3 linked regions of the Oreochromis niloticus genome follow. The protein of the gene in region 1 purifies or fractionates together with the protein of each later gene. This does not show direct contact. Links are inferred from orthologs where the notes say so. Each region holds a gene or a part of one and is shown on either strand. Other genes may lie near its edges. The genes, in order: wasf2, brk1 and cyfip2.

What was found.
Region 2: the proteins of wasf2 (region 1) and brk1 purify together in Homo sapiens (co-immunoprecipitation; 3 studies listed by BioGRID and IntAct, with this or other methods). This does not show direct contact. The link is inferred for Oreochromis niloticus from reciprocal best matches to the Homo sapiens genes WASF2 and BRK1.
Region 3: the proteins of wasf2 (region 1) and cyfip2 purify together in Homo sapiens (co-immunoprecipitation; 3 studies listed by BioGRID and IntAct, with this or other methods). This does not show direct contact. The link is inferred for Oreochromis niloticus from reciprocal best matches to the Homo sapiens genes WASF2 and CYFIP2.

Annotation. Positions count from the first base shown.
Region 1 is NC_031985.2:22,540,508-22,551,904, reverse strand, and holds the start of wasf2 (actin-binding protein WASF2), read right to left. Parts: upstream 5,762-11,397; 5' UTR 5,616-5,761; intron 4,478-5,615; 5' UTR 4,445-4,477; coding exon 4,312-4,444; intron 4,105-4,311; coding exon 3,970-4,104; intron 3,833-3,969; coding exon 3,679-3,832; intron 2,488-3,678; coding exon 2,370-2,487; intron 2,228-2,369; coding exon 2,106-2,227; intron 1,114-2,105; coding exon 958-1,113; intron 669-957; coding exon 199-668; intron 1-198. Other genes in the region: methyltransferase-like protein 24, read right to left, coding at 7,956-8,261, 10,493-10,760, 10,924-11,060. UniProt on the Homo sapiens protein: Downstream effector molecule involved in the transmission of signals from tyrosine kinase receptors and small GTPases to the actin cytoskeleton. Promotes formation of actin filaments. Part of the WAVE complex that regulates lamellipodia formation.
Region 2 is NC_031970.2:16,914,348-16,924,506, reverse strand, and holds brk1 (putative protein BRICK1), read right to left. Parts: upstream 4,743-10,159; 5' UTR 4,590-4,742; coding exon 4,472-4,589; intron 3,981-4,471; coding exon 3,898-3,980; intron 3,800-3,897; coding exon 3,773-3,799; 3' UTR 3,005-3,772; downstream 1-3,004. Other genes in the region: rbm5 (RNA-binding protein 5), read right to left, coding at 1-63, 207-365, 459-639, 1,715-1,731. UniProt on the Homo sapiens protein: Involved in regulation of actin and microtubule organization. Part of a WAVE complex that activates the Arp2/3 complex. As component of the WAVE1 complex, required for BDNF-NTRK2 endocytic trafficking and signaling from early endosomes.
Region 3 is NC_031966.2:30,316,322-30,327,229, reverse strand, and holds the start of cyfip2 (cytoplasmic FMR1-interacting protein 2), read right to left. Parts: upstream 5,603-10,908; 5' UTR 5,418-5,602; intron 1-5,417. Other genes in the region: itk (tyrosine-protein kinase ITK/TSK), read right to left, coding at 8,964-9,029, 9,122-9,279. UniProt on the Homo sapiens protein: Involved in T-cell adhesion and p53/TP53-dependent induction of apoptosis. Does not bind RNA. As component of the WAVE1 complex, required for BDNF-NTRK2 endocytic trafficking and signaling from early endosomes.

The sequences.
Region 1 (11,397 bases):
AAGAAAACGTAGGTTTGACTTTATTAAGCTTTTTTTGTTGTTGTTCTGCTGTATAAATGTGTAACTTTATTACAGAATAAAACTCTTCATGGTTCGTTATATATGTATGTTTGTTATGTGTTGCATGTTTTATTCGTTTCCCATGTTTGAGACTTTGGTCCAGCCCATGAGGCCCGAGGTGTTCCTGCGGTGCATTACCTTGTCGGATGGCCTGCAGCAGGTCACTGCGAGCGTCACTGACGGGCTCTGGCTGAGGTTTGGGAGCAGAACAGGCTGTTACCCCGCCAGAAGGTGGCAGACGAGGAGCAGAATTTTCGAAAGGTGGTGGAGGAGGACCGGGGGGAGGCGGTGGAGGAGGTGGTGGTGGTGGACCCCCGCCTGCAGGCATAGGTGGTGGAGGAGTGATGGCGGACATAGATGGGGGAGGAGGGGGAGCAGGAGGAGCGGAAGAGGAGAAGAGCGGAGGGGGAGAAGGTGGGGTGTCAAAGCCAGAGGGAGGTGGGGGAATCCCAAAACCAGAAGGTGGAGGAGGGGGAGGAGGTGCAGGGGGAGGAGAGAGACTTGGGCGGGAGTTGTTTGGGGAAGAAGCAGTGGGGGGAGCTGGAGGAGGGTGGCTTGGACTCAGCATGCTGACACGCTTCTGGGTGGGTGCTCCATCGTTACCATACCTGTAAGTGATGAAGAGGAAGTTGGAGGTATAAAGGATAATATAAACGGCATAATGGAGCCTTCACTTCCCTCCATTAACCTGCAATTTGTGTGCAGCTGCTTCCAGAGCAGCTCCTATTCATTAAAGAATCACAAAGTCAAAGACTATAATCCATTTAGCTTCAGCTCAGAAGGCGCGTATAGGATTGGCTGTACTTTCATATGGCTGTACTTTCACTACATGTTTGCAGGGGTGGTGGTGTGCTATGAGCATGTGTGGGCTGGTATGTATGATGTTACAGTACTTACGCCATGTCCGGAGGTGGAGGAGGCAATTCATCGGGACCGGGAGGAGGAGGAGGCGAGCTAGGATCATAAGCATAGGAGTTTGTGCTAAGCTCAAGGCTTTCAGAGTTGAAGCCCTCCCCAGATCCAATACTGCCATTCAGGCCCTCAGAAGAATTCCTTATAAGAAATGAGACATCGCTGTGAGTCCAAAAATAAACCAGACCACAAGTACAAATAACAAATAATAAGAAACACGGACGTGATTAGCATTTGGTGCTCAGGCAGCATCTGTTTATGCACATTTATAACAATTTCAGAGACGTGCCAAACGCATTTTAAAGCAGCAGAAACAGATCATTACACAAAGTGTTGAGAGAGAATAGCTTGTTCTTCATCTATACAGCTTGTCAGGAAATCGGACTGTTTTTTCTCCTTATCAGGCCTGCTGTGAGGCCGATGAAACACTGCAGGAGCTGAATCAGCAAAACTTCCCATTTTGGTAAAAAGAATATAATCCAAAACAAGGAATTTAGGACTCTTTGATGTTATTGAGTTATAATGAGTACTATTAACTAATTTGTGCACATATATTTGTTGTATTCATTCTATTAATTATGACATATATTAAAATAAAAAACAAACATATATACATATGCAAACACACACACACACACACACACACACACGTATAAAAGTATGCAACAATATTAGTCCCATCAAGAACAGGGCCCAGTGTGACTCACACATTTGTTTACTGCAATTTTCCAATGACGGCCAGCTCTACACCCAACCCCCCGAGAACATTTTCTGACAGGACATACCACCCAAACCACTGTGTACAGATCCGGTGATAAGGGGGGAAAGAATGAGCAAAATAATGTCTGATCGGTTTTTTTACTTTGTAAAGAGAAAAAAATAACTTTTTATTTTATTAATTAAATTATTTATAAGATATGCTTGAAATCCACATTAAAGCCTACTGGGTATGTCAGGGCTCAGAGCCACTGCAGCCTTGTGGATGACGCTGGATGAAAATGATTGACGTTTTGTGATGGACTATTGTGAAGATATTATTTTACTATAATTAGACTTTGATGGTTTTTGTTCTTTTGATTCCCGGTCACTGTTAATGACTGATAAACAAAAAGGAGGCATCTCAGAAAACTTACATCAAGTCAGACTTTGGTACAACAAACTCCTCTCCCATCTTACGCCGTTCCCATTCGTCCTTTCTGGTCTTGATCTTTCGAGGATTGAGGGTCCGCTGGTTCAGATGGTCTTTCTTCTCCTTCTGCTCATTAAGGAGACGGTTTAAAAAGTGCAAGATTAGCACTGGATTCGAACAATTTCATGTGATGTGACTAATTGTAGATTGCTTTTACTTATGTAATGACTCATGTCTTTGTGCGTATGAGGGTGTTTATGAGTCTCACTCTGTGCTTGCGTTTCTCCTTCATGATGTCCTTGGTGTCCTGCAGCATCTTCTCCTTCCACAGGTCAAAGAAGTAGGAGGGGTCGGTGTAAAACTTTAGGGCCTCCTTCCCATCGTCTCTGTAGACAACAATTTACAGACATTAATAATTATTTCTAGTTATCATTTGCACAATGTGCTATCTTACAAGTATGAACAAAAAAAAATAAATACAGTGTTAGTTAAAAGATGGTTATCTGCCATGTGTGATAGTCTTAAGATGCCAGTAAACTTCCCCTTTTAAAAGAAAACTTCACTAAAAATACACTAATGTCTTTAGTCACATCCACATCACACTGCGCGGATAAATCATTGTCCCCAAAGAATGATCCAAGTCAAATTATTACCACATTTACATTCAAACCAGGCACCGCTCTACACATCACATTTAACATTGCTGGGGTAATTACGCAGAGATCATCCTCTCACTCTCATCTGCCTTCTGATTATTCACACTTCAGATGACACATCTTGCCTTGTAAATGATCTACACTCACAGATATCTTAGCTTGTGACTAAAGACGCTTTACATGCATCCATCCGTCCCTTTTTCTTCCACTTATCTAGGCTGGAGCCTATCCCAACTACTACACAGCAAAAGGCAGTGTACACCCTGGACAGGTTGCCAATCAGGGCTCCCACAGAGAGACAACGATTCACAGTCACATTCACACCCACAGTTGATTCATAATCAACAATTCACATAAAATGCATGTCTTTGGACTGTGGGAGGAAGCTGGAGCAGCTGGAGAGAACCCAGGCAATGGTGCTAACCACGACACCACCATACTGCCCTCTGGGGCTATTTCCCACAGAGTATCTTCCCACAATCAATTGATTGGTGGGTTATTTAACAGCAAAACCAACAAGTGTGGCTTGTCAAACAGCTGTAAGTATTAAAACCCCCAAACTGCCTGGACTTAAACAGGTTACACACTAAAAACAAAACAACAGGGAAGACGATGGCGTCGACACCATAATTCTCCAGGATTTTGCAAAGGCGTACTATGCGTTTTCTAGTGTAAAACTGCCAGTTGTGTTGGACTGAGCCTCCTTAAATCAAACCTAATACTGCCTAGACACCTCCGAGACCCACTCCTTGATAAGAAGCACATGTAACAGGGGTAAGCTTAAATAATGCACAGTCATTACAAGAATCTCCCATGCATGTGTGTTTCCATATGGGCACATGCGCTTGCACGTGTTCTTGTTATTAACTGCTGGAGCTGCTGCAGTGGATAAATATGAGCTTGGTCTGTGCAGCATCTTACCGGTATACGCTGAGCTGGTTGAGCGGTGGAGGAGGATCGCAGGTCGTGTAAGTGTCTTGTACAGGCATTGGCAGAGACGGCCTGGTGAAGAGCTGCTGGTCCTGGGTCAGACTGCTTTTGAAAGCCTTCTTTGCAGTGATTCCCTGCAAAGTAACTGAGAGAAACAGACCGGCAATGTTTTAAACATGTATTGTGTTCATTAGATTCTCTGCAAAGGAGGTTTCAAACCAATACTCTACACTGATACCAGCATAAGCAGTAACGTTAACAGTAAAATGTGCAAGTACATACCCTCCTCTTCTTTGGGGTCCAGCTGGGTGACTTTAACCTGCAGGCGATCCACTCTTTCTCCAAGCGAGCTCACCCTGCCGGCAAATTCTCCAGCCTGAACAAACAGCTCCCCGAACACGTCCTCTGCATATTTGCCTGCACGCGTGCACACACACACACAAGTTTCTCACTTGCACCAATTAAAGGATTTATCTCACGCATACATAGCCAATGAAAATTCATATCTACATAAAAATGCATTAACCTTTGTTTAAAAACAATAAACATCCATGTAATACATATTCATCACTGCTCATTAACCATTCATACACACACTGACACCCGAGCATAACAGAAGCTTACTGAGGCTGCCGAGCTGGCGGATGATGTTGGCCAGGCTTATGTTGGTGACACATTCCAGCTCACTGCGGATGTTAGAAGGAATGGGATGGCGACAAATATGCCGCGGCTCTATATTCCTCGTCACCAGAGGCATGGTGGGGTGTGCTGGGGGTAGGGCAGCCCAACCCTGATGGAAAAGGAGAGGTAGGTCAGGGGAGTGAAAAACATATAAATGTAATCAAATTAATATTAAATTTTACTATATTTTCGCACCCAATGAGCACCTATTTTCATTATGACACGACTGTGAACTGGTCCTAACAATTCGCAGACTAATCAAATTGAGGTAAAAAACAAAAAACATGTTCCTTCCATTCCTAAATAAGTCACATGAGACAGACGCCTACAAAAATACACTGACCCAGACAGAGCTAAAGCAGAAGCAAAACTATGCCTTCGCTCCACCCATCGAACATGCACCACCCACCCGGTTTAGAGTGGACAAATCTAATATGTCCAAAATAGCAAAGAGCAGAACTAGGTGGATTTGTGACTTCCCCACTGCTTACAGCAGTGGAAACACATCACGTTATTTTAAACAGATTACAGTCAGGGCAGCGGTGTGAGCTCACGCAGTGCAGTAGGTCCACAGTGTCCAGACTGAATAAGATAAGCAAACGACAGTTCCGATTAAGGGGTCAGAGATTTGCAGTGACTGCAGACTCTCCCTGCTTTCAACACAGTGCGGCCTTGATTTTGGTTTAGTCTCTAAGTACAGCCTGTTGTGACTGCTGTTGCCCATTGCAGCTGCCTAATTACAAGTTTTTTCCTGTTGGTGGTGAATCATGGCATAAATGTTACTGTGTGTAGAAAAGGAAAGAAAAAGAAAGCGGGAAAAAATGGAGGGTCGCTACCTTCGTACCTCGGGATGTGTATATTACCAAGCTACCTGGAGGATTTAGTGATTAATCGTGAATGAAGGAATGCGTCCATTTCAGGCTTAGAGGCTTGTTCGTCACTGACAGGTCGCCCACTCTGCCTTTGACAAAGTGCTATTAGCCAGCTTTACTGCACTTTTTTCCCCAACTTTACACCGAGCTCCTAACTTTCTCTGACGTGAGTAAATACGTGGTAAAAAAGACGGGTTACACTTTTTTTGCGTCCCCAACTTCACTTAAATGGATTAAATGTAATTTGGGATGTCGGCCTTGTCAGAGCAGGAAGTAACTTCTAGGCGCCTCTTATATCGAAGGAAAAGCCAAACAAACATACATTTACGCCACTCGCTTAAACAAAACAACACTCAACAAAGACATTTCACTTACCGTCAAACCTGGTAACCGTAGGCGTCTCTTTATACAGCCCTACAGTTGTTATTGTCTCAAGATTTTTCTTAAGAAATGTTGTTCGGTACTCTATGCGAGACCGAGCTAAACAGATCGCCCAAGTCCCGAGGTTGCAAACTTCTGATTGGTCGAGCGGCGGAGTTCTTCGAAGCTGATTGGCTGTTGGGCCTGTCGCCTGCTATAACCGAGAACAGGATGTGGAAGTTGCAACGTAAAAAGCGCAACTCCACCCAAACTAGCGGCAAACATCTGTCCGCAATTTACGTAAGAGAGGGTGGAGGCAGCGCCACATTCCAACGTGCGCTCAAGCGAGTTGGAACGCGTCCGAGGAATGACTGGCATTAGGAATGACTGGATAAAATGTGCTGTGGAGAAAAGCTCCTACCGACAAGCAGGTTGTCCAGTAAGCCTCGGTGAGTGTTAAGTGCCTGCTTAACCTCAGCTCAGCCCGAGCAAACTGCAGAGCTTCAAGTTAGCGTGCATCCAGTGAAGACTCAATCACATAGAAGTTGGCGTCAACTCTGTGAATATGTGGTGAATACATTTGAGACGGGTGTGGTTATTTTCATGTTGCAATGGGCTTTATCTTGTGCCCACATTTGTTTTGGCATATAAAGTTAACACTGTTACACCCAGCTGCTTTTGTTTTCCTTCATAGATCAAGTGTCCATACAATGTGGTTGGAGGAAATAGACTATCAAAGTAATTTAATTGTTGAACGCTTGTAGACTTCTTTTTTCTTTTTACTTTTTTGTGCTGTTTCCCACTATCAAGTCCATGTAAATACAGTACGTAGGTTGATGTGTGCTTCTCTCAAATTATTAAACACAACCTTTAGAATACACTCATAAAGACATTAAACCTTGTCATTTGTAAACAACCACAGATTCCAAGATCATCAGTACAAACAACTATATGTGAGTACAAGTTATTGAGATGTGTCACCACTTTGCCAAGGCCTAGAAGAAGCCCCGAACTGTCACCCTCAGTGACAGGAAACTGGTTAGGATGTTCAGGAATAATCCAAGAACCACCAAGGCTCAAGCCTACTGCGAACTGGAAACTGCAGAAACACCAGTGTCACTGTCCACAGTGAAGCATCACCATGGACTGAGAAGGTGCTTACCAAGAAGGAAGCCCCTGCTCCAAAATCAACATCTTCAAGCTCAACTTAAATTTGCCCACATGGACAAACCAAATACCTTCAGAAGAAAGATTTGATGGTTGAGATGGTCAATGGACAAGATAAAGCTTAAGCTATTCTCTAAAGTTGTAAAGAGTAAAGTTGAGGCTCTCAAACCAAACAACACGGTCCAGCGGTTAAGGATGATGGTGGCAGCGTCATGCTTCGGGCTGTTTCAAATTCTTCAACTTCACCTCAAATCAACAGCTAAACGGTTGAAACGTGGACACAATTGGATGTCTTAACAGGAAAAATCATATCAAGCACATAACAGTTTTTCGAATGGATAAAGCTATAATAAATATAGGAAAATATGGATAAATATAGAAAAAAACAAGAGATAATTATTTTTTTATTCAATTCAGTTTTATTTATATAGTGCAACATTGAAACAATAGTTGCCTCAAGGTGTTTATCTTCCACAGGACACAAATTATAGGTGCTCTGACACACCTGACCCATTGCATTACAACCAGTCACTAACAGAGTAACCCTTATTTGGAATTTAATGTGGTGGGAATTTAGGTTTTAAACTCCAACTTGATTGCTTTCCTCTAACACATTTTCACAGTATACACACTCATTTTACTATAAAATCTAAGCTCTTCTTTGATGTAAAATTTTATTGCACATATAAGTAATTAAAGCTTACAGTGATGTACTCAAAGAAGTTAACCTGTTGGATCAGACTCAGGTCAAAGGGTTGCATTCTGGGATTCATTGGTAAAAAAACAAACAAACCCACAGCGTTATGGTACAACTGTTAAATAAAGAATAGCCTGTCAGACAGCTGTTTTGCGTTCAGAAATAGTTGGAACATACATACATCCTTTGTGACACAGCAAAATCTGAGTTGAAAATAGTTGTTATTATTTGGCCTGTAACTTGGTTAAAACAGCAAGCCCTTCTTCTGCTCAATATTTGGATACAATAAAATGCTGTTTTAAATATAAATACAGTTTCTGTTTCAGAGTTGGTTTTACCCTTTAACTGCAGATTTCTTCATGTCCACTAGAGGGAGTTGTCACGTGAAGAACTGTGTATGCCTGAAATCCCAGGAAAAACAGGAAACTTCACTAGCTGCTTCCCCCTCTTTGGATAATGTGTGCGCAGCTTCATCCATCAGTGTGTGAGTCTCAGTGTCGTGTGTTTACCCAGCTGAGTGTGTAGGAACTGTGAGCATTTGCTACTGTCTGTTTTAGGACACTGTGACCCTCTCCTGCAGAGCTGTGAACCAGCTTGAGTCCACAAGCTTGAAGACCTTGAAGGACACTGAACCAATAGCGGAGCACTTCCTCATCCCTACCGGCCACCTCAAACCCTGCCCACTGCAGGTGCACCTTGGCAACAAGATGGTGGACATTCTGTAGAGTTCCTGCCTCGATCCAATTCTGAAAAACGCGCCACTCGCCGCTTAGCAGGTCAGCATACAGGAAGTGAACCTAAGGAGAAGAAAGAACAGAGGAAAGTACGGCTCTGGTCTAGCACCTCCCCACCCTCCCAAGCACATACATAGGAAGCCTAAGTTAGCAAAACACCAGATACAGAACAAAGCAGGCTTTTAGCAACAACAGAAAAGACACTGATTAAGTCAGGAACAGAATTTCCAGTCAGCATGCTAAAGCACTGTAAAAAAAACATATTAGATTTGCATATCAGCTGATGTGAATTGGGATGGTACTGAGATCAGCTCAGCTTTACTAAGAACAATTCCCAATACTGTTTATATGTTTAATGGTAGTTTATTAGGATATATTCATGCTATGAGGGTGGCTGTGGCTCAGGAGATAGAACAGGTCGTCTGCCAATCCCTGCATCCCCTAGTCTGCATGTCGAACTGAACCTGGAGTTTCGCCCAATGCATCCGTTGGAGTGTGAACGTATATGTGAATGGGTGACTAGGCTTGTAATGAGAAAGTGTTCTGAATGCTCAAAGTATCAGTTCATTTACCATTTTACTGCTTTCCATAGTGGACCTGTTGCTTATTAATCATACATATGATTATATATAATCAAATATTGAAGATCAAATTATTAGAATTATTAGCTGCAGTTCTCGGAGAAATCGATTGCAGCTCACTGGCAACTGTTGAAAAAACATCCTTACAAGCTAAAAAGTCACAAAATAGAACAATACTTAAAATGTTGAGTCTGTTGCCCTCCCCCTTTAGCATGCAGCAGTAATTAGTACTCTTTTTTTTGTACTGTTATAACCTCTAGTGCCACAATTACATGGCGCTTGGCGATCTTGTTTGTGACCTTACAGTCAATTAATGTTTCATATGCCCCAGCTTACAGTGCTTTCACACAGTGTTTTCCCCCTTCCTTCAAGAACTGCAATGACGTGTTTGCAGTAACTGACAATGAGTCTTTTCCATCACTGTAAAGGAATTTTAGCCCACTCTTCTTTGAAGAACAGTTTTAATTCAGTCACATTGGAGGGGTTTGTAGTTCTTAAGATGCTGTTCTTGGTTCTTTTGTGACCTCCTGGATGAGTCGTTGATGCGCTCTTGGGGTAATTTTGGTAGACCGGCCGATCCTGGAAAGGTTCACCATTGTTCCAAGTTTTCTCCATTTGTGAATAATGACTCTCATCCTGGTTCACTGGAGGCCCAAAACCTTAGAAACGGCTTTGTAACCTTTTCCAGACTGATATGCGTCAGTGATTTTGTTTCTCAGTTGTTTCCTTAGATTGTGAAGTGAACATGACGTGTTCGCTTCACTTTGTTAGACAGGTTGTATTTAAGTGATTTCTTGATTCAACAGGTCTGACAGTAATCAGAACTGAGTGTGGCGAGTAAAATTGAACTCAGCTTTCACAAAAAATCTGGTTAATCACAGTAGATTTAATTAACAGCACTGTCGGTCATAAATGTTGGAACAACTGAGCCACACAGGTTTAAAAGCTGGCAATGGCAGCCACTTGTGTAGTCTACGTCATGGGCTCTACATACTTGAACCAAATTTGGATCAAACTGGAGGCAATCAGACACTGAAGCAGCCAAAATTGATTTGCTTGTCCAATCAGGGGGAAACAATACATGAAATCTCTAATTAAGCACATGAACAGTGTTCTGAGTTGTCCAAACATCTTGTGCACCAGGTTTGGTTATTTTTGGATGAAATCTGAATAACAGAAAGTCAAATGTGTTAACAAATGCAACAAATGTGCACGGTCTGTATCAATCTCCTCTGCATCATCCACTGAATCCATACAGCTGTGTTAGAATTTTCCTTGTCCATCTAACAGTGAGAAAGTTTAGCCCCCCCCAAAAAAAAATTTAACCCACTCATTTGATCATTTATCCACCTATGGTGGCGCTATTGCTTACATGAAGCATATGACAGCATATGAAGCTATTGTATATTTTAACTCCATGCTGTGGCACTAATTATTTATAGATGAACATACTGGACTGCTTGCAATTCTGTCACACCGCACATAATCAAACTCCAGGTATGCAGTTCCCTCTTGTGGCTGCAGGAAGCAATTGGGTGATTCATTCACTTAAACTGTTGCCATGGTAGCCAGAGATGGCGCAGAGCCCTGTTGCTATGGGAACATCTGAGTAAAAGAGCTTTCGGGGTATGTTGGGGTGAAAAGACTCTAAGGTATGTTTGTTTGGCACTGTTTGTCTACATTTCGGTGTGTGTGCATGCGTGCGTGTCTTACTGTGTGATGTCCCAGAGCTGCCATGATGTCTGCCAGTGTCTGAGAAACACCACCCGGGTTTCCTCTCCTCTTGTGCGCGCGCTTCTTTGGAGCTCGCCACTCAAGCCACATCTTGTGCTGGCTGACCACGCCTCCATCGCCATGGTTACTAGCCAAACTGTTGCCAAGGTGACCACCAGATGCATTAGAGTTGCTGGGATCAAAACAGTGTATTTCACATCCCAGCCCCGACACAGTCTTCAGAAAGTCTGCATCTCCCCCATCCATGCTAGAGAGACAAAGACAGGAAGGAAGGCAGGAGAGCGCAAAGGCCGTTTGAACATTATTGCATGCATGATTAAATATGCATTGCATTGTTTATTCCAACTGAACCGGTGATAAGAATGCATAGCAGCACGTGCACTGACATAAGGCTCAGACAAGTGGCACACCTGAAGGAATATGCGACACACGTTTTGTGTGTAGCTGGAAGGAGCCAGTCCTCAGCACACAGCAGCCAATGGGCTGGCGCTGCAGGGCTTTGTGCTGGCTGAGCCCGCCCTGGAGATAAAACCTTGGAGCAGTTCATCTGGGGACAGACAAGAGGAAAGAGTCACATAAGACTGGCTGGATGGAGGTCTGGAAACAGCGCGACACAGAATTAGCATTCAAATGAGAAGAGGGGAAGCTAAAGAAGGAGAAGTTGTTCAGAAAAGTGGCCAGAATTGTGTAATTTGTGAGAACATTGCAGAGTCATGGCTCGAAATATCTTTGAATAAACCAGAATTGTTTAACGATAAACTCATAATTTGATGGCGGCTGTTTAAAAAGGCCACACGTGAGATGCTTTAATTTGTTGCATTGAATAATTAACGGGGACTGTTTCTGCTTTTTTCTTATTTTCTGTCACATACGCTGCTCCTACT
Region 2 (10,159 bases), on another chromosome or scaffold:
CTTTTTCATCAGCCTGACATCCACTGGCTGGGGTCCCTCAAGTTGGTCAATGGCAAAACGAATCTAAACAACAACATGCAGAGGCTGCTTAACATCATAATTCAATCATTCATTCATTCATTAATACCTTTAGAAAGGTACTTACACAATAAAAACAAAGAAAAGGAACCAAAGGGTGTACACGACCAGTGCAACTGAATACTTACATCATCCTCAGTGACATGAGGAGACAGACCCCCCAGCATGATGGTCTTGCTCTTCTTCTCGTCCCCTGGTTCCCTTCGGTAGTCCTGCTCTTGGTAGTCACCATCTGAGTGATAACCATCTTCTGATCTATCACTGTTACGACGCTTCCTCTCCCTTTGCTTTAACACAAAACAACAACAGCTGCTAAGTGTCATTGCACAATTGTTTTTTCAAATGCAGTATTAAAACCCAAGGGCTATTAAGACAAACACCTCTGGGCTTTCTCGTGATCCTCTGCGATCTCCTTCATAACGATCACCACGTCTCTCGTCACCCCAGCGGCGCATGTTGTGATCACCACGTTCTTGGTCTCGCTCACGTCTGTCACGCCACTCAGACTCATCACGGCACTGGTCAGAACCATATCTACCGCTACGTTCTGTTCGACTAATCCTATTCAGAAGGCCATTTAAAAAAAGAAAAAAAAGAAAAGTCAAACAGGAGCACAACTAATACTGCAATAAACAAACCAACTTAGCACACCTTAGCGTTCAACATGTATAACATTTCAATGACTTTGCTACCATTTTAGTTTTATCATGACTCCAGCCTTGAACAATGCATTGTCTCTCAGTTAATCTTAGCACTGTCATGCCAAAAAAAAAAAAAAAAAAAGACTGCTGGAATTCAAACTGCTGTAAGTGACTTGTTGGCCGATAGTCTGTCAAACATATCTGAAACACCTCTAACATGAATGATGATGTTTTTTTGCACTGGAAAAAAAAAAATATTGTGACCAGATTGAAGCAGTTTTTGGCAAGGTGAAATTTATAAATCCTTTATTCATGTGCATGAAAAATGTCACATTTTCAATCTCTGTGACATTTTTTTTTCTTTTAACCTGTATTTGTTTTTAAAAAAGGAAAGAAGATTGTAGCTTCTACCTTCTGACAGAAATATGTCTGGCTGAGAGGGAACCAGAAATTGCAATAAATGCAACATCGGTTCTTTAAAGATACTTTGAAGTGGCTAAAAGTGACTTAATTGATTGCAATGTAGAAAACAGCAGGTACAATACACCAAAACAGGCAAAAATGTTACTCATATCAAAAAAGCAAAAACAAAAAAAACAACATTGGCAATCACTCATTGGCAGATAATGACTTTTACATTCTTGTATTGTCCTAACTTTTTATTCGGATTACGTAACACGTTTTACGAGAAAATTTGATGGCAATAAAACTTTTTACCTGTAGTATTATCGAAAACAGATTTAGTCTCCTTTATTTTTTGGTTTAAAAAGAAACTAAATGTAAGGTTTTACATATCTGGAAATGCTGGTAGAAATCAACGCTACTTTTGTCTGCCATTTCAGTTTAAACACAACTTTTGAATACTATTTGTTTTAACATATCGCCTAAACTCGGAACATGTATCAGAGACGGGAAAAACACAAGATTCCCGTTCCCACTATGATAAGCCACACCTACCATGGCGAGCTGCACTGGCATTTAATGTTGCTACTCACCTTTTGTCAGCCCCCATATTTCTTACAGCTTCCGCACTCACACGACCTCTAGAAAACAGAAAAAAAAAATACCCGTTAAAAATATACGTAGTGGTTTTACTCGTTTACACATAACAATTCCCCTTGTAGTCGCGTGAACTCGTTTAGCGTGAGAGAAACAAAAACCAAAGCCCTCCTTTTTCTTCATTCCATTATATGGAGCTAGACGTTATCAAACAGACGTCTCTCAAGCCAAAATCAACGGCGCTAACGAGAGACCGCGAAAGATTTAGTTTCAACTCTGAACGTGAAGCAACTTACCAGTGTAAGCTTTTTGATGCTTTTTTTTCACCCGCACTATTATTTTTTCAAAACGGTAATAGAAAAATTGCGGAGAAGAAAATTCATCTCACGTCCAAAGACTTATCTGCGATGGCACCTTCTTTATCCCAAGATGCATCGGTGTCACCCGGTGCATTATGGGTAACGTAAGAGTCAGCCCCGAGTTTGCCTTACAGGCATGGAGTTGTCTCTCAACCTGGTTGTTTTCTCACGCTTCCGTAGTTAGTTGTTAAGACTTACTGGGGTTACATGTTGTTATAATTATCATAACAAACAAAACAAAACATAAAACAGCAACAAAGCGTATATAGAAGTTTATTGGTATTTAAATATAGAGCATGGTTAGTTTTTTGCGTTTTCTTAAAATTAACAAATCATTGGCAAAGAAGACTTTAAAGTAGTAGCTAATTAAGGTTTAAACTTTTGAGTGGAAAAATGGTGGATAAGATAAATTAACCTATACAAGCTAGGATGAAGTAGCATGGTGGCACTGTTGTTAGAACTCTTGTCTCATAATAAGAAAGTCCTGGGTTTCTAAAGTCCTTCTCTGTGGAGTTTGTCTTCTCCATAAATTGTGTATCCTCTCACAGTAAATGTGCGTTGCTACTTTTATTTTCTTAAAACGTTTGGTGGTTTGGTGAGTGCTCAGTTGGGTAGAAAAGCCTGGACGAACAGCAAAGGGATATAGCGTAGTGCTGCCTGTGAGGGAAAACCCAGGGCAAAACGATCACATCTCGCAGATTTCCGCCATTTCATTGGCTGTTTTCGTTACATTTTCGTAATAGCAGTATATGGATGCGTTCTGAAAGCGCTTAATCCCGCTGCTGTTAGAATTTCCCTGCAGGTTTTACATGGAGTTGAAAACTGTTAATGTTCTGCTGGACACATAATTAAATTACTGTCATGCTATAACCCCGCTTTTTATTTTTACCATACGCTATTAATAATTCAATTCAACCAGAATGCACATTACTCTTTATGCAAGTATGATTTATTATTCATAAAACATTTGTTACACATTAATGCCATTGCAATGAATTCTTCTAACTGTACCAAAACCTGTATACAATAGCAATCTGACCCATTTAATATGTTGTTTCATGTCAAGCTCTAGTCTATATACACTACAAGTTTGTATTAACATTGTGAGTGTGTCTGTCTGATTACTCAAAATAGTCATAACTAGACCCATCTTCAACATAGCAACATAACTGGTGAAAAAAAGTTAAGTTCAGCTACAATGTTATTTAAGGTCATTTATTACAGTAGTTAAATTCAGAAACATCACCAAACACTTTGCTGTACAAGGAGGCCCTTATTAAATGTAAGTACACAATAATTGTTCATCTTGGCACAGGCAAATGTTCCTCTTTTGATACAGCTTTCATTTGGAAGTGACACTGTACACAACACAGATGGTCAAACTGCAGTGATACAAAATTTATAAATCATAATTGTGCTCCAGACTTATTTTAAACCAATACTAATGGAGCTTAGTTTTGTTTTGTAATAGAATATAATGATGCTTGAATCAATGGTAGCCGAGTCAGACATACATCTTCTGTACAAATGCGTCATGAGATAAAATAACACAAAATCCAGCCATATAATATATTTAAAAAAAAAAGGTCCACATCGTCCCAAAATAGGAGGGTGGAGTCCATCACACTTAGTCCAAAAATTCAGGGCGAGGGATGGCAGGTAGGTTGGGGATGTTATGAGTTTCAATGGCCACTTCTAGGTCAGGGTTTCTCCTTTTGTCACCTACAATAAGAGACATGTTTATGTAATGGGTATGGTTACTTGAGAAAAAGACAAAGTCAAATAAAGAAATAAAGGCACTTTACATTCAGTTAACTTACCCTTGCCTCAATGTATTCAATCCTCCTCTCCAGCGCTGTCAGCTTCTCGTTGAGTGTGGCCAAACGAGATCGACACGACATGTCTGATGGAGAATAAAAAACAAATAAAAAAATAAATTAAAAAAAACTAGAACGTTTAGAGGTTACCACGACGAAGCATGACATTTTCATCAGTTTTTCAACAGCTGCTTAACAAAGATGCACACCGTCACTTTGGGTTAAAAAGGTTTAAAGGGCACATCCGCATACATATTGGCCGACAACACTAGCATTAGCGGTTACGGCAGCCTGCTAATGCTTTCCTATCGTCTGTCGAATCTGGTATATTAATGAATTCATTAAAACGACTGACTCTTAAAGGACAGGTAGTTGGAGGAAAATGTAAGCCGATTCCTCTTCAAAATGTCACAATCCTCCTCCAAAACAAAAACAAGCTGACAGCTAACAGCCGCGCTAACTGCTAGCTGGGAGTGGCCATTGAAAACATCAACATCAATGCTAACAGCTGGCTGAACTAGCTAAGTTCAGCTAGTGATCTACACAAATCTGCCCAGTGAGTTTGTTAAAAGCTTACCAAACGAGTTAAGAAAGTCGGCGATCTTCTTGATGCTGCTCGTAATTACTTCTATGTATTCTCGATTCGCCCAGTCTTGGTGAATCTCTCTTTGCACTGGATCTTCCTGGCCAGCCATGTTGGACGACTTGCAGTATCCCTCTGGTTTCACCCAGGAAGTACCGGAAAGTGTTGCGTCGATGTGAAAATATTATACAACACTTTTTCCCCCAATGAAGATTCTATTTACCGAAATTTCCTAAGTTTCCTACATACATTTCTGAAGGATGTTTGTGTGTATTTTATAGAAATGAGCACAACACAATTTTTCTTTCGGTTGCTACCTTTAGGGGTCGCCACAGCGGGTCACCTGCTTCCATCTCACTCTATCCCTAACATCCTTCTCTGTCACACCAACCCTTTGCATGTCCTCCTTGGCTCATCCGTGAAGCTCCTCTGAGGATTTCATCTTTTCCTCCTGCCTGGCAGTTTCATATTCAACATCATTTGTTTGATATATCCACTATGTGTCCTCTGAACATGTCAATAGCACCTCAGAGTTGCTTCTCTAACCTTTCCTCTAAACTGCTGAACCTGAGCTGTTCCTATGATGGTACTTATTTCTAATCCAGCTCATCACTCCCAGTGAAAATCTTAGCACCATCAAGTCTGCCACCTTCAGCTCAGCCTCCTTTTGTTTTGGGGGTTCCACCGTGTCCCAACTATACTAGGTCTCAATACTGTCTTGTAGTGAGAACTTTCCTTTCACTTTTGTTGCTATTTTTTGGCCACAATTCATCCCTGACATTCATTTCTACTCACTCCACCCTGCTTGCAATCTCTTCTTCACCTCTCTTGTGCACTGTCCATAGTTTTGGATGGTTGAACCCAGGTATTAAAACTCATCCACCTTCACTACCTCTCATTGCATCTTCAGTCTTACACCTGTTTTTATCTCATTCTGTCTCGCTTCTACTTTTATTCCTCTTCTCTCCAGCGCATACCTCTACCTGCTCTCTACTCTCACTCATATGAACATCGCAGTCCACAAAGACTCCTGCCTGATGTAAACCGGCTACCTGTCCATTACCATTGCAAGTAAGAAATGAGCACAACACAAGTATTATAATAACATTTATTTCTCCTTTTAAGTCAAGCAAGTGAAAATATTTGCGATCTTATTAAAGACATTCACAATGGTCGTCAAACTTTTACATTTTTATCAGAAACCCCTCCTCACAAAAACATTTAAAGGAGTGTCGTCATTGAATTAAAAGGCTGAACAATCCAGTAGAACAATCCATTTAAAATATCACAAACAAACCCAGGCCTGCTATAACATTTTTGGAATTTGAGATCTGAAAGCATGGCATATTATCCTAATATGTGTATGTGCTGATTGATCTTTCTGAACTGTTATGTTTTAAATCACCCATAACATTTCCCAGCACATTTTATTTGATTCTCTTAAGAAGCTGTTTAATATCTGCCTCGATGTCACTTGTCAGGAAATTTCTGCTGTAGCGCTTGTAAGGTTCCCCGTCAGGACCAACCAGGAACTTCTCAAAGTTCCAGGATACGTCATTCCTACACACTGGACTCCAAATGATGTACTTTGGATCATTCATGAGACCCAGGGCATCATCGCAGGGGAATGGAAGTTTTTCCTTCAGATAGACAAACAAGGGGTGGGCATCCTTTCCATTCACATCCACCTTCTCGAGGAGCTGGAACTTTGGTTCAAAGCCATTCCCTGGACGGACATACTTCAGAGATCTTAGGATTTCATCGTTCTTGCAGTTCTCCTGTTGCACCAAAACACAAGCACTGTTAGATAGATGTAGACATTTATGTGGGGTTTTAATTAAACAAGCTAAATAAGAGGAATTGTAGTGTAACCTACATTTCCTCTAGAGTACTTAGGTGCAGTATAGAGGCAGGTGTATTTGTATTTGAGATTTATTCCCTAATTTACACTTTGTATTGTATTTTTCTGGATCATGACATTTTAGCAGTAAATAATCGTGCTTATGAACCTGATAAATGTATCCGACAGATATGGTATTTGGACATAGAACATCTTTGAAAATTTAGGATATTAGAAATTAATGCGCTGTATTATATATAAAAATCAATACTGTTAACAGCATTGTCATACCAGGAGTTTATAAATATTATAAATATGCAGGCTAAAATGTTGCTTTGACACTGATAATTTGCTAATATTTTAGTAACAGTCAGAATACTTTTAATAAGACACTTCATGTAATATATTACTTTTTTAAATAAGACACTTTACATGTATTTGAACACTTACGGCCCACTCTATTTTAACTAAAAGATTCCTAAAGTTAAAACTGTTTCATTTCAGACTGATAACACACATGCATGTCTTTAAACTTGTTGTGTTACTAAAATACGGCTCATAGGCCATATTTCTCACATGTCAAGAATAAGGAAGCTAGGCCTGGATTTGGCTAGTCCGGAGTTTTGGTCACCTCAGAAACATTACTCTCTCTCTCAAGTAAAAAACAAACACGCTTTGTACCTGATGTCCAAACTGATTGCAGGGCACACCCAAAATAACGAGACCTTCGGCGGAGTAGCGAGAATGAAGGTCGTTCATTTGAGTGTAGTCCCTGGTTGTCGTTCCTCAGAGAGACGCCACATTTTCAATAAGTACAACTTTGTCCTTTAGTGCAGAGAAACGGAGAGTTTCTCCAGACAACAGCTTAGCTGTCAGGTCGTAAAACCTTTTCAAATGGCCAGCCATTGTTAAAAAATCCAGATGATTTAGACTTCTGAAACCGTGAACTCGGATTAAAAGGCTTTTCCTTATCACGTTTCAAATTTGCTCCAAGTCCAGCCCTCGCTTTTATTCTTAGGGCGGGACATGTAGCCTAATCTAGTAACACCCCTCAGTGCAAATGCAAATTATTATTATTATTATTATTATTATTAGTAGTAGTAGTAGTAGTAGTATTGTTTTATTATCGTTTTGTAGAAGGACTTAAAGCATTTAATTTTCACGTGCTATCGGAATCTCTCTCTATTTTTTTTATTTATTTCTTTATAGATACCAATCTATAAAGATAAAGTAGCACAAGAATTTAACAAATGTGGTAACTCAGTATGGTAATTATCATTGTTTCTAACCACTTGAGGAAGTCACTGACGTCTAAATCTCCAATCAAAATAAGTCAAAAAATGACATAATGTTAAGTTTTTACTTAGCAAATATTTATCAAATGACCACTGCCAATTTTGATATTGGACACGTACACAAACCTACACAGCCGAAACTGCAGAAACTCTATTAGCAAAACGTATTTCACATCGGTATGTCTTAAGAGATTTACAGTTTGTTTACAACAATCCCCCCTTTTTGTGTGCATGAATGGTACTTTCCAGGAAGTCACAGGAAGTGAATTTATTTATTGCTTAGTGAAATGACTTGAGAACTAATGACTGGAGAAGTGGAAAACACACAAACCATGCTGTTAAACATGGTGGCTTTTTAAAAAATAAGAGCCATAACTGTGTTTACTAACGGCTCCCCCCTGTGGGTAAACAATCATGTCAGACTATATGAATGTGTGTGTGGTCAGTATCCTGATATCCTGCTATCCGTTACATCTTGTATTCGGGAATCTGCTCAGAAGTTACTGTGATAATTGGCCATCAGCCAACAAGAAAGAAAGATTACACCCGCCTACAGGTTCATACGAGGACCTCGTCGACACTTTCGGGAGCTTTTTTGGGATTCGAAAAGGACTGGATCACAGCTTCCACTTTTGGAGTGTTTTATGTTGACAGTACTAAGGTAAATAATAATTAAATAAATAAAAGGTCAAACATCTGCTAAACACTATTTTTTACTATACCATATCTGTTAGCAATAATATAAAGACTATTTTCTGTAATGTCTAAATTATTATTATTATTATTTTGTTAATAATTTAAAATATATTAACCTAAAAAGCAGGTATATATTTAAAAAACATCTAAACAAGGCGGTGCAGTTGACCGCTAGATGGCGATGTTACCATTCTCTTAAAATGGCACTAGACGACGAATACCCTACTTTTCACCAGGTATAAGTAGACAACTTATGATGAGATTTATCATATTAATCCAGCTGCATTGTGTACTTCAACAACACAGTCAAGTTAGGGACTTCTCCTGTAGTGATATTCTGTGTTTTTTAGCCGCCCAACGCTTTGGAAGACTCTTGGGACTGACTGATTTTTGTGTTTTCCCTTGAGCATTGTCATGGCACATCTGGTCAGGGTGTGGTGTGGTTTGTGGATTCAGATGTCATGGAATGTAATCCAAGTGCATTACTGGATAGCTGATTTGATACAGTCTGAAAACAGAGCTAAATGTAGGGTATGTAGTATTTCTACTATTCATCAAGGGAAAAGTTCAATGAATAAAGTACAAATGAAAACACTAAACTGAATTAATTAGCTAAAAGTAATGTTCGAAAAAAACTTTTTCCTAGTATATCATTAAAACAGTATATACACATATAAATAACTGGTTCTAATTTTGTGTTGTGTTTGATTTTGTATTGTTACAGTGTGAATTGCACACTATAATAAAACACTAGGGAGTGAAACTAATGCAGTTTAATTAGTAGGATACACTCCTGTTGTAATCATCCACCAGTTAATAAAACACCTTTCCAGGGTGGTTGTGATGAAATTATCCTCTAACATCATTGGCTTATCCTGACAAAATCGTTGCTCTAGTCTATCTGAAGGGAGTTGACACTTCGGGGAGTCTTCAATAAAATGAGGTGCTTTAGAAGGCCTATTTAGCCTAAAAAGAAGATACAGTGTTAAAATCAACTTTCCAGCTTCACTTCACTGGTATACATTGTATCATGTAACCTGTCAATCTGTTGGACACATCCAGGAGTCTAAATACCACCACCTCTTTGGCCTGGTAGGCCTTTTACTTCCTTACCACTGAGACGAGAACAAAGAATCTTAGCCTTCTGTTGCTGCCTGTAAGAAAAATGGAAATAGGATGGCGGAAATTGATATTATTCTAATTTATTCTTTCATTAGCTTGATAGTAATGTGATTTGGCTCTATCTGTAATTGTAATTATTTATTCTTATTTTGATCTAAAGAAAATAATATGCATCAATTCATCCACCTAACCCTCTATCCATTAAACCTACCAAGTCATCACTGATGTCAGATTAATGTCCTTCTGGAGCCCCTTTTTAAATGTGCACACCACATCAGATGTTCTGTGAGCCAGCACAACCAACTTCAATCAAAGGTCAGACTGCTAAGCTTATAGCACTGTTACTGAAGCTGTAGCTATCTGCTTTATTGTCACTCAAGTGCTTCTAACAGCACAATCAGTCATTTGGCTCTTAGTGAGATGTCTGTGTATGTTCCCAGTTGATCCCTTTGTGAACTCATCTTTCCTCAAATCTCCTATAAACAGCAGGAAATAATTTCTGCTGGATCTGTTTTCATGATACTTAATACTGCACCCTCTCTTGGGTCTCCGAAATCTTGTTCCCACATTTCAAGCAAGTCCAGCTTGAGCTGTGTTTGTACTGGGCTCTACCAAAACAGTGTAACAAGGCATAGCACCTTGAAATGGTTAGTCAGAAGTTATTGCATTGCTACAATGCTGGGAGTTGGGAGGTTCTGGTAACATTAGTGCAAAACAAAGGGCTGAGAG
Region 3 (10,908 bases), on another chromosome or scaffold:
AAAAAAAAAAGAATGTGGCACAAGTGGGTAAACGGTCACTTGGCCTCTTTAGTTAGCACTTGTGGATCAGACCACACGGGCTTTCAAAACTCAACCTTTATTTTGATCTGAACTAAAGACCCATAAAGTTTCGTGAGTGTATGTTGTGGTGTTACAACACCACAAAAGAAAAAAAAAAAGAAAAGCAACTACCAACCTTCTGTCACTATTGCAGTACTTCCAGCTATCGCGGGTGTCACCAATATCAGATTTTACCATGATCAACACACGTAAACACACACGTACACAGATAAGTATAATGATTACTGGATGCTAAATGTAGGTTGTTCCACTTCCCGTTTCTGCTATGTGAATAACAGCTTCTTTAGTTGATTATCGGTGACATCATTTTCCATTATGGTATAGCGTACCACTCATTTGCTGAGCGTTATTGCCCTTTAACTGCTCTTTTTGTTTCTGTTCCATTGTTTTAAGTATGACGTTCAATTTGGACACGGCGGTTGTGAAACAGATAAAAGCCGGCAGTTTATCAAGGATGTTGTGTGTTATAAGGTGTGTACCAACTTATACTCTACACGTGTGTGTGTGTGTGTGTGTGTGGGTGTGTGGGTGTGTGAGAAACCCTTTTTTTTTTAAAACGTCTGAGGATTTTGTCATCTTGAACAGAGTGTTTCCTGTATTCTTTACACTGCTGTGCTGCTTTACAACCTGGATGCGCACACTGTCTGATTCTTTTAAGACCCGGTTGGTTATTTATAACCGTTCGGCATACAGAAAATGAAACACGCAGCTCGCTACAGGGGCTTTGTCGGGCAGACAAACGCGCTCAGTGCAGCTAAAGTCCCATCTGTGCATGCAAATACAGACGCGCTCTAAAGCCTGGGTTGGCTGAACAAACTTTCCCACCCTATACCGGGCTCTGTTAAACAGTTGGTTTATCTGTCTGTCTCTGTGTGTATGTGCATCTTCGCCCAGCAAAAAGGGCCCCTTCATTCCCTTCTGGGCACTTGGAAACCTAGTTGAACAACCAAAGAGGGCCAAACGAGGCAACGAGACAACAACTCGCTTCACAAAACTCACACAGTAATATTCCCTCCCCCCCGCCGAGTTCACGTTATAACTGCAGCCTCTATACATGAAGAGCTGTGGTCTGACATCCTCGTGACAGCACTAAACCATGAGGTGGTGAGAAGATCCCAGAATATCATGAATAAAGCAGAGGAAAGCAACGAGATGCAGTGAGAACATGGAGCATGATGTAACAGGCAGAAAAAAAAAATATGATCACTCTACGCTGCTAGGCCTTTGTGTAATACATCTTGCCTGAGAGGAAGACAGAAAGTGAGAGAAAGTGTGTCAACTCCGGCCTCGCACCACTCCATGGGATCTCCCACCCAAGGCTAGCTTTGTAATACACAGCATATTCACCCACATGCAATAAGATTATATGTGATCAGCATCAAAGGCAGGCACAATACCGATCTCGAGCATTTAGTCACGCATGCGACCGTTTAGAAAACGTTCAGCGACACCAACTAACTCTGCGGCTAAATGTGCGTTCCAGCAGCGTCTGTGCAGAGCATCCTGTGCAGGGGACGGTGTGTGGCTGAGGTGTTTCACAGGCTGGTTGTCATTTCTGAAAGCAGCACAAGAAGAAGAAGAAGAAAAAACCTGCTTTCATCTTATGATTTCTGTGATGTCATGCTTGCAGAGATGAATACAGACTAGGGGAAGAACAAGAACCTGCCTCGCATAACCATCACCAAGCTTGGCAAGTACAGACAGCAAACGAAAAGTAAACCAGGTGTATTTAGTTGTATTTATGTTGGCAACTTTATGAAAATACATTTGTAAGTGGTGATAATAATAACTTCATCTGACTGCTACAGTTCCACAACAGCTTATGCTGCTTCCCTTTTCTTTGTCTAGTTCGTTATTTATATCTAGACTCATTGTCTCACTGTGCTTTTCAAATCAGTCAACTGCAAAATAGTTGTACTTGTACCCTGAATCACTGAGCTGTTTTGGGCAAGTAACAGTTGTGAGGTGGGACCTGCACAGATTGTTTTTTCCTCTTTGGACACGTCCCACAGGATTTACATCTTGGAAATCTGAAGGCCTAATCAACAAATCGGACTCTTGCAGAGCAAATTGTTCTGCTAAAGGAGAAAATGTGCTGAATGCTGTTGTCTGCCACAATGTTTAGGTAGGTGATAAGTGGAAAAATGAAACTCACATGAATGATAATGACCCCAAGGTTTCCTAGCAGAATGCTTCCCTGATGATCACACTGACTTATTCCAATATTCTAGCTTATGTACCTATATAGCTTTCCCAGGTAAACACTGCACACATATAGCCGCCCACATGATGATTAATCAGAGCAGCCCACCATGGGCCACTTCTAATGCTCACATGCTTGCTGTGAGCACAAACAGGGGTCAGCATCATGGCCAGAATTAAGTTTCCAGCGATTTGTGCTTCAGCTCTTCAAATAAGTAAGCCTTTCCTTCCAAAAAAGCATTAACGAGCCTTAGTACCTGACAAAGAAACTGCCGTTTCACCAAGTGGATTACGTTGCATCACTTTTTGGTAGGCCCTAACTAATGCATACCAGGAATACCCCACAAAGCCCTCTGTTTAGGAGATGCCCTTAATTAGTCTTCTAGCTATCACAATTTAGCATTTGCACAAGTTCTTACTGTTGACCAGTTTACTGCTTCCAACACATCTTTCACAACTGACTACTCAGCTGCTCCTTAATATACTGTGTGCTGAAGAACTCTGGAGATATAAGGATGTTTAAATGTTAATTTTAACCAATATAATAGAATGGAACTGGTATGAAAGCAGCACATTGGCATTGTGGTTTGCACTATTGCCTCAGTGACAGAATGTCTGGTGTGAACTCCAGTCTGGGGCTTTTCTGTTTGGAGTTTGCATGTCCTCCTATGGGTTCTCTCTAGTTACTCCAGCTACCTAACCCTAACCCAAAGGCATGCTTGGGTTTAGGTTAATTGGTGATTCTAATATGACTGTAGGTGTTTCATATCAAGAATCAGCCTTAACCTGTTTCTTGCCCCATGACAGCTGGGATAGGCTCCAGCCCCCCTCACTACCCAAAACATAGCAAAATAGATAATAAGCTAAAGGATGTAATTCAATCTTCCCTTTTAACGTTGAACTGCCTGGTTGCACTCACAGCATAGCTCTTAAAAGGAGAAACGGGGATGAGACGAATTCATGAGTCAAGTTTAACCACTCATGATTTATTCTCAGCCGATGTATTAAACAGGGACATGTTAGACAGCTCCATTTCTAGCTTTATACTGGTTTAGACCACATTAGCCTGACATACAGCTGGTAACTAGCCTTAGCAGTCCAGACGTCTCTCCGTGACAATAATAGCGGGATGCTGTGGTGGTGTTTAGGTGTGTTAGCTAATTGTCTTTTTTTCCTTCTAATTTTAAAACATGACAAACATGAACATGACCGACTTCATGCTTCCTCACAGTAAATGATTTGATGGTTTTTCACTTCAGATGGCTGTAAGCCAACTTTCGTAGAAACCAACGTTGAATTCACTTCAGTAATGTAAATAGTACTTGAGTTGCAACTAATTATTATCTTACTATAATGATCGTAGCATATGTACGTATTGACCCTTAACTTCTCTTAGACACAAATGAATCTGTAACTTACTATGTAAACTGTCTATGTTACCAGGATTATTAACATCTATGTAGCTTTTGGGAACTTTTTTTTTTAATAACAGTCAAATCTTTACAAATTATAAATGTACGTGAAGTACCTGACCTGAAAAATGAACACCATTATATGTATGTTGCATGTATGTTGTTGACATTTCGTGTATGTTATGTGTATGTGGCTGACATTACGTGTACTTGTTAGTCGTTGACATTAGATCTACACTACATGTACGTTGTTGACATATGTGTATGTTACATGCATGCTGTAGTTTTTGGAAATACATTTTGCTTAACAGATTTTAGTGCCATGGTACTCTGGGTTCATTGGAATGTACATCTGTAAATAAGTGTCAATCGAGCAGTGATGCTACTAATACGAGTAATTGATTACTTTATCTTATGCAATGAATATGTATTTTGCAAAGAAGAAGAACAATAAACCTATGTATTTATTTATCTATATTTTAGTGTATATGAAGAATACTTTTTGCCACTTGACTATATACAGTGCTATCATGAACATAAAAAATAACATCATAAATTAACGTGTGTGTGTGTGTGTGTGTGTTTTAACACATGAGCGAGGTTACGAAGCACCGCAAGCTAATATTAACAACAATACCTGAATTGCAACAAATTATTCTTATTAATACTACTGCTTCTACTAATACTGACAATAATAATAATTATTATTATTATTATAATTCTTAGCAAATTACACTTTCAGTTAAAGAAACACTCATTTTAGTCAGTCAAAAATGTGAAGTTTTCCCATAAAACTATCATAAACCTAAACAAGACTTTAAAATAATCCTAATTTTACCTGACTATTAATGGCACCAGGTTTCCTTTTCATTGTGGTTTTATTTTGCAATCCTTACTATTAGCAGAAGCAAAGCATCAAGATTCAAGCATTACATCACTGCCTGTGGGTGAGGGTCTGGCATACAGATTTACAGCTCAGAGAGTCTGCAGCAATGGCAGGCTCATATTTCTACCCAAACTGGCAGGTTCGTCTGTAGGAGAGAAATGGAAAGGAAAAACATCTGGGTTTACACTAAGCCTGTCTGAGACGGAAGTGGGTGAACCTGTCATTTGAGCACCAGTAACGGGCCTGCCTGCCTGCCTGCTGGTGCGATAGCTGTGAAACAATCCTGTGCATCTCGCCATGCTGTGGCCCGTTAGTCGATTGGAAAGAGGGGAGAGGACCTTTAAGGAAAAATATTAAAAAGCCAGAGCATCGTTGTGAATCCGAGCAATCTGAAACACCAAAACGTTCTTTTTTCGCTCTGTGCAGCGAAACGGCTGTTATCAGGTCAGAAAACCGTGGAGCCTTACGTGCTCCATCATTCATCAGTGCACTTGCCACACAGGCACCCTCTCCTCACCCCACCCATCTCAGCGTGAGCTACGATGCCGATGTAAGCTAACGGGGATCCCATTCATGTGCCACAATTATCCGCGATAAAGCGGGGCGCTCGATCCCAATCAAGTCCCTCCTATTTACAAGGATCCCCCTATTGTTACATTTGCGCACGGACAGATAAGTAAAGGGAAAGGATGTAAAATGCGAAAAGGAAGAAAAATAAAAAGAAGGGGGGAAAACAGCACTCCAGTCTCCAGCCATCATCACTACCCAAAGCACATCACCAGCCCCGTTCATCTTCTTCGCTGCGTCTGCATCCATCGCTACTTTTTGCCACATACCTGAAAATTGCATGTCCGTCCGGCGACAAACTAAAGCGGGCGGACCGTGTCGCGGTCTGCGACGGCGATCCAATGTTTCCTCGGTTTTTATTTTATTTTTTTCCACGTCTTCTATGTCGACTGATGCTCTAGTTTCGCCCAGTACCAACCCGGTGCTAATCCACCCCACACAAAGAGCAGAAAATGGCTGCAAGTGCATTTTCTTAAAGAGACAGTCACAGTGGAGCACAGGCGATGATGAGAGGGGCCCCGACATGTTGATTCCGTTCATTTGAGCTTCTATTTTTCTGCTTAAAAATACTTTGGGTACAGATAAATACATAATGCGTTTCAGGCTTTTAAATTGATAACATCAAAAGCTGTGGGTATATGTTGTATGTATAGGGAAACTGAGGGTAACCTCATTTAAAGGAGGCGGTTATAAATTCTCAGTTTTCTGTATGAATTCTAATTACATGATAAATAGGATATAGAAAAAAAGTAAAGGGCCCCTACTTCACCCAACTTGTACTACTATTTAGAATTTAGAATTCAAGTTGCATGTAGTAGACCTATACATGTTAAATATTATTGTTTATTATTTCAAATGCATGTGTTGAATACAGTACTTTATAATGACAACATGCTATAACCTTGATTCCAGAAAACTTGCGATGTTGTGTGAACTGTTTAAAGACCACAGAAAGCTATTTTCACTTGCAGATCTTATAAACCTATTTTTTATTCACACGACAACATAGAAAACATATAACATGCTTAATTTGAGAAAATGGACAATTTTAAGCAAAGAAATCACAAAAATTGAATGCTATAGGATTCTAGTTGCTCGACATTCCTGGGTTTGATTTGTAGTATTTTCCATTTCATGAGATGCCAGATGTTTTCATATGGAGAAAGGTGCAGTTCTGCACCCAGACTCCTCTACCATCAAGCCATATGTTGTAACTGAGTTGTGTTGTGTTGTGTTGTGTTCAGTATCGGCTTGATGAAATATGCAAGGCCTTCTCTAAGAAAATGCTGTGCAGAGGTCTTTAGTCACTCTTGATTTCTTGACTTTCTTGTAACCTCTTAATGTGGTCTTGAGTGATAGTTCTCCAGGCTTTCTGAAGGTCTTTCAAAGTTTTTCTTTATACATTGGCTGCTTTAACACTTCAAGCATTGAAAAGCCACCAAGGCACTCAAACAATGAACCAACATTCATTCTATCTGCAAATAACACACAATTTAGCAACAAATCAGTTTTAAATGGTATCTTTAGAACCTGAGAGATGTGCCTGACCCTTCAGCTGATCCATCTACTGTTTGCCAAAACCGCATCCGAAATGGTGTCAGTGGGTGTCAAGAAGACATCCTTAGGGAAGGGAAATGGAAAGAAAAGGCCGAGGTATGCCAAATTACACTGGATTTCCATGCATGTTTGCACATGTTTAAAAAGATTTCTGCACCTTTTTTTTTTTTTCCATTTTCCTATAATGGATATTAAGAAATGAGTGGTGGCTCAAGACTTTTGCACATTACTTTATGTCCCAGCAGGAAACTGCAGTTCCAGGTCTTGCCACTATCCTCAGAAAAGAATGCGTTGGCTGACATGATACAAGAGAATTATTGATCACCTCCAATCACCTCCATATTTGATGTGGGGAAAACGGAAGTTATTGTGTCTGTGCCAGAAACTGCAATTCTTTGACTGGCCACTGGAGTCTGGCTCCAAAAGTGAGTCATTCCAATAATGTATGGCTTCTTTGACTGAAAAATTGATGTGGGTATAGACCAGCGGTCCCCAACCTTTTTTACGCTAAGGACCGGTTTAATGTCAGACAATATTTTAACAGACCGGCCTTTAAGGTGTTGCTGATAAATACAACAAAAAAGAAAAGACAAACCCTAACCCGAGACAAAGGCTACGTTCACACTGCAGGTCTTAATGCTCAATTCCGATTTTTTTGTCTGCTTGTTCACACTACAAATAAAATGTGACAGCAAACGTGCTCTAGTGTGAACGATCAAAGCGGCCCGCATGCGCAAAAGAAGACGTCACACACAACGCGCTCTGTTTAGACCCAGAGCAAACAATATTGTTTGACTGATGGCCCTTAATATAAAGACTTCGGACTTTACGTTTCCCAATTTTTGCTTTAAGTTATTTTGTTATTTACATAATAATGTAGATAACCTAATAATTATCCTTATTGCTGTTTTAGAGAGGAGCGGTGCTTCAAAGGATAGTTGCAGATTTCTGTCAGAATCTGCAGATTATACAGTACAAATAAAATGTTCACGTTGTCTTCCCAACAGTTTCACTGACATCTACACTGGATGGCCAGGAAGCGTTCGCGATGTCTTCTCGGGCGCTTCTCCGGCGCTGATAACTGGTAAAAGACGGATTTAATGCGACATGACCGTTCAAACAGCAGTCGCTTTCTAAAACATCGGATATGTATCGGATTCAGTACCACATACGAAAGTGACCCAGATCGGATTTGAAAATATCGGATTTGTGCCGTTCACACTGTCATACCATGATCGGATATGGGTCGCATAGGGTCAAAAGAATCGGATTTGATGCGCTTTCGCCTGCAGTGTGTACGTAGCCAAAAACTGTGGTATTTTGTAAATATAATAATAAATGCAAATTCACTGTGTAATTGTGTTACTTTATTAGCAACGTCCTCCTGAAATGCACCAACAACATTGAGAGTAACATCCTCCTCTCTGCCCTTAGTGCTCTCTGGTTGCTATGGTAACATGTAAATATTTCTTTCAAAATAAGACACACAACTACAACACGGGAAAAGACCCAGGGAAACCAAGTTAATGACACAAACTCTGAAAACCATAAATTTAACACCGGAGGCTCAACTCTCGTGGCCCGGTACCAAATTTAGCACAGTTTCAATGAGTCAAATTACTTACCACATATTACAATGTATCCGAGCAATGAGTAATAAATAAATCTTGACCAAATGTGGTCACCTATGACTCCAAAATTAATTCATAAAAAAAAAAACATGACTCATGACTTTGTTGTAGCTATGTCCATCTTATATATACAGTATATGGATGATCATCAAAAATATGACTATTGTGACTCAGTGATCTCCATAAAGCAGGAAAGCCTTTTGCATGTATTTCTAAATATATGTAACATCTGGCAACTTCAATAACTTCTTCATGTAGAAACAAACATATTTCTTATGCCAAGATTTCATTATTGTAGTGGAGGAAACTAGAGAGTCAGAAGTGACAAGATGTAAAACATTCTGTTTAATGACAGTCAGCTGACTGAAAAGCAAACATCTCACTTTTATATGGCTTATAGAATTACTCAAACCTTTACATGATTCTGCAGGAAGCACCAGTAGCTGTGTGAATGGACTGTGTGAGCCCTCTCAGGGGAAACTTACAAAGCTACGAAAGAGATAAAGTGCAAAATCCAGGATATAAAATTGTTTTGGAATCATCTAACTTTACAACTGACAAGCAACTGGTTACAGTCAATAAATAAAATAAATATTATATATAAAAATCACAAAATCACATGTTGGTTCAGGCGTCTGAAAGGGAGGCCAGCTCGTGAAAGAGGAGCCCAAATGTTGGGCGATCGTCTGGTTTCTAGGAACAGAACAGAAAACAAACGACAGTCAATCGTTTGCTCATTTTATGATCAGCAGAAGTTCTGCTTGAAAAAAGGGTAATGTCCTCACCTCCTTCCAACACCACTCCATGAGTAGGTGGACAGAGTCCGGGGCCAAGCGCGGCTTCAGGAGCCTCAGGCCTGCGTTCAGGGAGTCCACCACTTCTGCATTAGTGCGGTTCTCATAGGGGAGTCGGCCTTCGTTGTACACCTCCCACATGAGCACACCTGAAGAGGGGCGGACACGGAGACAGCACTTGTTAAACAATATGGAAGCATGTTAGTCAAGAGGGTAGGAGCCTTGTATCGTTCATTTAACAGTGAGCTCCTCTAGTCCAGTGCAGTGTGTTTTTATTTATTTATTTTTTTTATATAACTGAAACATATTTATTTTTAGCCTCATTTGAGGGTAATTTGCTACAGATCAGAATTGGCCAAAATTGTTGCTACCCATTAAAAACACACACACACACCTACACATGAGACACACACACACCTAAAATTTGCTCTGCTGTAAGGTCTTACATTAAAAGTAATTCATCTTGCTTTCATTCAATACAACAAATAAAGTCGTCTAGCTAAAGTATTTGATCCTTAATTTTAATATTGTGCAGCTGAGCAGTTTTTGTGATTCTTCACAGGAGGACGCCCACCTCCCTTTCACCTACTTACCTACCCCCACACAAACACCTACACACACACTCACACATCTTTGTAGGTTGTTTGACTCTTCATGTTCAAACCGCTGCGGTTCATTCAGGTTTGATGAACACGTTTTCCCCCCACTGTGAGTTTCAGCTTTTTCCACACTCTGCTCAAATGATTTTGTTTCAGTCCATCTTGTTGGAAGTATGTTTTAGATCTTTATACTGTTGGAAGAAGCAGCATGGCCTGTGACTGGCACAAAGCTCTGGCACAGGTACATAAATGTATTTCACTCCAGATTGGCTTGATGAAATCCGTTGTCCCCGGCGTTCTTTTCTTCAAAAGCTTCTTTTTTTCGCCAAACTTGGAAACTAGTTTTATATCCCAAACTTCATCCACCAAGAACCGCTTTGACTTGTCTATTTGTATTTTATCAAACACAAGTTTAAGGGTTTTTTTTTATAATCCTCTTTCAAAAGCGGGGTCTCTTTTTTCAACCTTCATTCAGAAAGCGACGTATGGTGTCGACAGACGCTTTTGCACTTTGATCCTTTAAATCAGCTCTGTTTAGTCTGGAGTTAATGTTCCTCTGGTAGCCTCATCCACTGAAGCTGGCATGAAAGAATCCAATGAAAGAGTTCCTAATATTCTTAGCAGCTGCAGTCTCAAGAACTTCACACAGCCTGTAGATGGTCCGACTGTCTCTTTTAGTTTAAACCATTATTTAACCAGGAAGTAAAAATCTTGACATGAAGAATCTTTTATAAGATGGCTCAGACAAACTTTTTCCCTCTTTCTCCTGCCCATGATCAGTGTAAGAATGATACTATACAGCTGAATTATTACTCTTTTCCCATTTGAATGCATAGAATCATGATTGAAAACACTTGTGTTACCAATAAAAAGCAATAACCTGCTTAAACTGTCACTACAGTTCATTTGTTTTTCACAATTTCTAAGGGACGTCAGTAATTGGATCCAGACCCTTTTAGAATAGGTCATAATTCAACTCTATTTAGAAACAGAAGTAGTAACCCCTTTTATAGAAGTTATAATATGTTTTATTTTTACTTAGTTTTAGCACATCCGTTTTACACAAGCAAGTCATAACTTCAAAATACAGAATCTTTTTTTTTTTCCAAAGATCACGTCAAGCTAAAAGCTTTCTGTCCATTTAATCTCCTCTCGGCAATTGTCTGAGCTTATTGTGCA